Struthio camelus: one gene and its partner. The protein of the gene in region 2 purifies or fractionates together with the protein of the main gene of each other region. This does not show direct contact. Links are inferred from orthologs where the notes say so. Each region holds a gene or a part of one and is shown on either strand. Other genes may lie near its edges. The genes, in order: TIMM10 and CHCHD4.

What was found.
Region 1: the proteins of CHCHD4 (region 2) and TIMM10 purify together in Homo sapiens (co-immunoprecipitation; 4 studies listed by BioGRID and IntAct, with this or other methods). This does not show direct contact. The link is inferred for Struthio camelus from reciprocal best matches to the Homo sapiens genes CHCHD4 and TIMM10.

Annotation. Positions count from the first base shown.
Region 1 is NC_090946.1:7,519,936-7,522,800, forward strand, and holds TIMM10 (mitochondrial import inner membrane translocase subunit Tim10), read left to right. Parts: upstream 1-1,194; 5' UTR 1,195-1,301; coding exon 1,302-1,372; intron 1,373-2,010; coding exon 2,011-2,212; 3' UTR 2,213-2,282; downstream 2,283-2,865.
Region 2 is NC_090955.1:9,006,292-9,010,205, forward strand, and holds the start of CHCHD4 (mitochondrial intermembrane space import and assembly protein 40), read right to left. Parts: upstream 2,779-3,914; 5' UTR 2,535-2,778; coding exon 2,513-2,534; intron 1-2,512. Other genes in the region: TMEM43 (transmembrane protein 43), read left to right, coding at 2,919-2,930, 3,645-3,794.

The DNA of each region.
Region 1 (2,865 bases), on a different chromosome or scaffold from region 2:
AGGGCCATGGGGACATGGCGGACATGGGGGGACAGGGACCCCCCCCCAGGGCCATGGGGACAAGGGGGGACAGGGAACTCCCCCCAGGGCCATGGGGACAAGGGGGGACAGGGACCCCCCCCCAGGGCCATGGGGACATGGCGGACATGGGGGGACAGGGACCCCCCCCAGGGCCATGGGGACAAGGGGGGACAGGGAACTCCCCACAGGGCCATGGGGACAAGGGGGGACAGGGAACTCCCCCCAGGGCCATGGGGACATGGGGGACATGGGGGGACAGGGACCCCCCCCAGGGCCATGGGGACAAGGGGGGACAGGGACCCCCCCCAGGGCCATGGGGACATGGCGGACATGGGGGGACAGGGAACTCCCCACAGGGCCATGGGGACATGGGGGGACAGGGACCCCCCCCCCAGGGCCATGGGGACAAGGGGGGACAGGGAACTCCCCCCAGGGCCATGGGGACATGGCGGACATGGGGGGACAGGGAACTCCCCACAGGGCCATGGGGACAAGGGGGAACAGGGACCCCCCCAGGGCCATGGGGACATGGCGGACATGGGGGGACAGGGACCTCCCCCCAGGGCCATGGGGACACACGGGGATGGGGGGTACAGGAACCCCCCCCCTGCAAGGCCATGGGGACTCGGGGGGACAGGGGAGGACAGGGAACCCCCCCACAGGGTCATAGGGACATGGGGGACATGGGAGGGACAGGGACACCCCCATAGAGCCATGCAGAAGGGGGGACATGAGGGGACCCCCCATGGGGCCGTGGGGACGCAAGGGGACGGGGGGGGACTGAGACCCCCCACAGGACCGTGGGGACACAGAGGGGACGGGGGGGGACTGAGACCCCCCCCCACGGGGCCGGGGGGGGCCGGGGCTCCCCGGACAGGCCCACGGGGCCGGGAGGACTCCGCGGAGGGGGCGGGGCCCAGCCGCGAGGGGGCGGGGCGCGCCTTCGCCAATCCCGCCCGCTGCTGCTCTGGCTCCGCCCCCTTCGGCGGGCAGCGCGAGCGTCCTCTCTATCCGCCGCCCTCACCGTCCCCCCCCCCCCGCCCCGCAACCCCGCTCCCTCTCTATGGCTGCCCCGCGCCGTCCCGCCCCCTCCTCCCGGCCCGCCCTATCCGCGTTGGGGGCTGAGCCCCTGCCCTCTCCGCGCCTGGCTCCTATTGGCTCCGCCGCGAGGCGGGGCGGTCCCGTGCCGGGGCGGAAGCGCGCGCGCGCGCCCCCACGTGGTTCCGGCCGGCAGCCGCCGCCGCCGCGGGGTGGTCGTGCCCGTGCCCGTGCCCGGCGCCATGGACCCGATGCGGGCCCAGCAGCTGGCGGCCGAGCTGGAGGTGGACATGATGGCCGACATGTACAACCGGTGGGGACCAGCGGGGCACTGGGCGGCGCTGGGGGACAGGGGGAGGAGCCCGGGGCTGGGGGGGCGTTGGGGGGTGCTGGGGGGCACGGGGGGTATTGGGGGGCTGGGGGTGGCTGGGGGAATGGGGGGCGCTAGGGGGCACGGGGGGCATTGGGCTGGGGGGTGCTGGGTGCTGTGGGACATTGGGGGTGCTGGGGGGCATGGGGGGTGTTGGGGAACATTGGGGGTGCTGGGGGGCATTGGGGGGCTGGGGGGTGCTGGGTGCTGTGGGACATTGGGGGTGCTGGGGGGCATGGGGGGGCTGGGGGGTGCTGGGTGCTGTGGGACGTTGGGGGGTGCTGGGGGGCATGGGGGGTGCCGAGGGCTGTGGGACACTGGGGGGTGTTGGGGTGCTGTGGGACATTGGGGGGGGTATGGGGGGCATTGGGGTGCTAGGGGGCACGGGGGGTGCTGGGGGGCATTGGGGGTGCCGTGGAACATTGAGGGGTGCTGGGGGGCATGGGGGACACTGGGGGGCATTGGAGGGTACTGGGGGGCACGGGAGGTGCTGAGGGCTGTGGGACATTGGGAGGTACTTTAGGGGGTGCCGGGAGGCGCTGGGGGCTCGGGGGACGCCCGGGTGACGGGTGCCGGCGCAGGATGACCCACGCGTGCCACCGGAAGTGCGTGCCCCCCCACTACAAGGACGCCGAGCTGTCCAAGGGCGAGAGCGTGTGCCTGGACCGCTGCGTGGCCAAGTACCTCGACGTCCACGAGAGGATGGGCAAGAAGCTGACGGAGCTGTCGCTGCAGGACGAGGAGCTCCTCAAGCGCATGCAGCAGGGCTCCGGCACCGCCTGAGCCGCCGGTGGGACACCCGCCCGGGACACCCTCTCCCCGCCACCCCAATAAACCCAGGTGTTTCGGAGCACCCTCGGCTCGCCGCGGCGTCACTCCGGGACGCGGGTACCACTGCAGGGCAGCGAGGCTCGGAGCCGGGGCGGCGGCGGGGGGATTCGCTTGTGGCTCGCAGGGGGTCGTGCGCACCCCAGCCGGGGGGGTGGCAGGGGAAGAGGTCTTTTCCTCGACCCCCTGAATCGGGATGAGCGGTGGTGCTGCCCTGGCTGTCCCCTGCTGTCCCCTGCTGTGTCCTTGCAGGGTGCACCCCTGGGTGCCCCCGCCCCGCCCCGGGCCCAGCCCTTATAATCCCCGGGATTAGGCAGAGCTGGCCTGAGCCCCATAATCCCCCGTAGGGTGGGCGCAGGGCGCTGTCTGAGCCGGCCCCGCTGGCCTGCAGGGACAGCCGGAGAGAGACACCCCCTGGGGACACCTGCGGGGACAGGCGCAGGGACAGCCGGAGAGAGACACCCCCTGGGGACACCCGGAAAGAGACACCACCCAGGGACACCTGCACAGAAGCAGCCCAGAGGTGCGTGTGTGCACACACACCGGGGGACACAGGCAGGGACACCCCCAGGGACAGCCAGAGAGAGACAGCCCAGGGACACCCCCAT
Region 2 (3,914 bases):
TGTTGGTTCAGAGGACCACATACAGAATGACAATTCGACAAGTATTGACAGGAATGCTGCTAAAACTTGTAAGAGACTTAGAAATAAGACCTATAAAAAACATCAACAGAAGTTCAAAAAGATTAGGTAATAATTCTTCTATAAGGAAAACAATAAGATAAACAGATCCTGTTTATCCTCTTTGTACCATACTCACATACCTGTAGGAAATTATTCTCAGTAGCCAATAGGAACAGAAAAAAAGACATAACTCAGTAGAGTGATTTATGATAAATGTTTCAGTTAGGCATTACAACTAGATGTCGAGGGAGATGGGGACAAGTTCTCATTAAACAACATGCAAGATAAAACAAGTACTCATTTCAATGGGAGACCATAATCTGCTATCAGGACTCACAGTAGTAGGAAAGGACTGCATACCATTTTTGAGTTGTGGCAGCATTTGAGAGACACCTCATAGTATTTTGAATTTTAAACCCTCCTGACCTAAAGTAGTTAGGACAGTGGGGCCAACATAGTGCAATGACAGGTGCTGGGAGCAAACAGCCCAAAATTAGATTTCTTAAGCAATGCTAACTAAATATGAAGCCACAAACACTAAATGCACAGAAGAAAACTATGAAAGTAGCAGCCTCACTCTTGGTACACAGAAAAGGGTACAAAAAAAAAAGATTAAATGAGTGCTTTAAAACTATTTTAATAGTCTTAGAATATATTATAACAAATCATCCATTTACTTGCCAAAAATATAGAAGCTAACTGAAATTTTATTGCTCTAAAGTTCTAATTTTCACAGCAACATACTGTAATAGCTGCAGATCACAGAACAGTTCATTGAACAGTGAAGTTAAAAAGCTGTTTCAAAACAAGCTCAGACAACTACTCTCTTACATGGACTAGGAAAGCGTTCAGTAGGATATTCCTTAAGAACAGTAGTCTACCTTTAGACTGGTGGAATTACCTGGTGTAATATTTTATAATAGTGATCTGGAATAAAGAATGAAGTCCCTAAGTGCAGAACCAATTATATTGAAAGGTACTGTGAACATTATCAAAGACAGAAAAACAGCGCAGTGTATTTCCTGCTCTCATGCCACCCTTTATTGAACAAAGAAGTTCTGTAGGAAAAAAAGATTTAGCTGAAAGCCAGGGAAGAGTTTCCTAACAACCCTGTAAGACTACAGGGAAATCTTCTAAAGGCTAGCTCAAAAAGAAAAATGTAACACACAACCAGAAAAGAGCATCTCGCTGAAACTCTTCTGAACGCACAACTGATTATTCATTGAGTAGAAAGAAAATGGTAAGTTCCCCAAGATCTTCCTTTCATTCTCCAAATTCTGAAAGGCCGCTGCAGTGACTCAGTATATTAGAAGTTAGGATCTTCTTGCCTGTCAACATTACCTCAACCAGCAGATGTTCAAACACTCCCTTTAGTTTGCTTTGTAATCAGTACACATTTTAATGTTTTTAAAAGCAGATCAATCTAAATAGCCTAAAAAAAAGGGGGGGGAAGGTTTTTTTTGGTCAACTGTGTATTGTACTCCAGCAGACTTTACAACGCAGAATATTCAGTGATTTCTTAAATAAAAGGAACTAGAAAGATATAAACTCTAACCCCGTCACTATAATTGTTGTAATTTTGTAGAATACTATAAGAGAACTTACAGAGGGTCCTTGCAAAGGCCCAAGATGTTATTAAAATAAACAGTAAAACAAAACAAAGAGTGGCACAGGTTATAATTACTTTACAACCATACATGGTCAGCATTCAGTGTGTCAAAGTTTGCCATTTCAAAATGGCATTTCGAACTAGAGAACGGATTTTACCAGTTTGAAATTTTACATTTAGTCATTTGACATTAGTCAAAGGAGAACCCCCCCCCCCCTCAGGGCATCAGCTGGCCAAGCCTAATAAATAACATGACCCGTGCAACACAACACCTTGCACAGGCACAAAAGCATCAAGCCTCACACACCACGCTGCTCATCTACTGGGCTTTTTAATAAGGCAGCAAACTCCGGCTATTAAAGCTTGCAGAAGGTTAACCTCTGCTGGAAGCCACCGCTCCCCAGGGGAGCGCGCACGCCTCCGCCGCCTCACGGCCGCGCCCCGCGAGCTAAGAGCGGGGCCCGAGGCGCGCACACGCTCTGCTCCGGCCGCCGCCAACCGCCGCCTGCGGGGCGGCCTTTTCCCAACGCGCCCGCGGCCCCGCTCCGCCTCACCCCGCGGGGCCCCCAGCGGCCGCGCTGCCCCGCGGCCACCGCCCGCCGTGAGGAGAAAGGTCGGCGGAAGGCGGGCAGGGCCGGGCCAACGCCACACACAGCCCCCGGGCGGCTTTCTCGCCTCCTGCCGCCTCAGGCTGCGCCCTTCCCTCACGGGCAGCGGCGGGCGGCTGCGCGTTGCCCCATCACAGGCCCCCTCCCCTTGCCGCTGCTGCCGCCGCCTCAGGGCGAACCCGCCCGGCCTGACCCCGGCGGTGACATTGGGAGGACGCCCCGGCGCGGCCCGCACCTTCTTGCCTGCAGTACGACATGGCGGTGCGGGGCGGTGCGGTAGCTTCCCTCTCGGCGCGCGCGCAGACTGACCCCGCCGGCGTCCCGTTCCCGCTACCACCACAGCAACGGGCAGCGGCGCGCGGCTCCACGCTGTGACCTCCCGCCTCCGGAAGCGCCTTCCCTGCCCTCCGGCGGCCGCGGGCGCCCCTCCTCCCGAGCGCCGAGGCGGGAAGGGAACGAGCGGGTTCTGACTACGTATCCCGGCCTGCCGCGCGCCAGCCGGGAGGACTCTGTTTCCCAGCGTGCCCTGCGGCGTTTGGGAACTACGTGTCCCAGCAGACCCTGCGGCGGCGGCGCGGCGGCGGGCGGCGCTTTTCTGCCGCTTCTCTGAGGCGGGACCCGGCGAGGGGAAGACGAAGAAGATGTCGAGGAACGTGAGTGAGCGCTGATGGGTGGCGGTTTCCCCCGGGGGACCCGGCCGCGGAGAGGGGCCTGGGGCCGGCGGTGGGGCTGGTGCGAAGCCGCCGGGGGCTTCCCCGAGCGAGGCCTGTGGGCCTCCCCGCCGCCCTGAGCTGCGTGTGCTGCTCCCCAGTTGCTTCTCGGTTATTGCCCCTTTCCAAAATACACGCGTATAGAAACCCATGCGCTTTAACGCAGCACCCTCTAGGACAGGAACAACACTTTTGTGTTAAGCTAGCTCTCCTTTTGTGGCCCGAGGTGCAGTTATTCTAAAGGCGGTAGGCTCTTATCCTCTGGTGAGGTAAAACGTAGCTTGTTATTTATAGCGGTGTTGTAGCTGCTCTGGAATTCAGGAGTATTGCTCATTTTTTTCCTGGCCTGGCTGTGGGGCGTGTATGCAACAGAGAAGTCCGAGGGACAGGCTGAAGGAAGCTTTAACAAATGTTGGGCCAGTATATTAGCAATTTTTTTTTCTACCAAGCTTATTTAGTTCTATCGACTTTATTTATTGACTGTATTTCCACTATCGAAAGTATGACGAGACAGTTGCAAGTGAGGAAAAGCTTATGTCCGAGGAGAGAGGGGCTGTGCTGCGGAGTAGCAGTTTTAACAAAGCTGAAAGACTTATTTTGAAACAGAACGCCTTGCCCTTTTGTAGCAATACTGCATTTTTGGTTTGCCTCCAACAGTTCTCTGACACAGGCAGCAAAAAAGAACATGTCAAAATCACAAGCGAGTCCAAACCAGGGTTCCTGGAGAGGCTCAGCGAAACTTCTGGGGGCATGTTGATGGGACTTGTGACATTTCTTCTGTCTTTCTACCTTCTTTTTACCAATGAGGTAAGTGAAACACTGTTAATGTTTACGTTACTTTATAACATCGCAGCTGACGTGACATTCAACTAGTTTTGTATTTACAGGCTTACTATAATGATTGTGTTCAAACCTTATTACTTCACC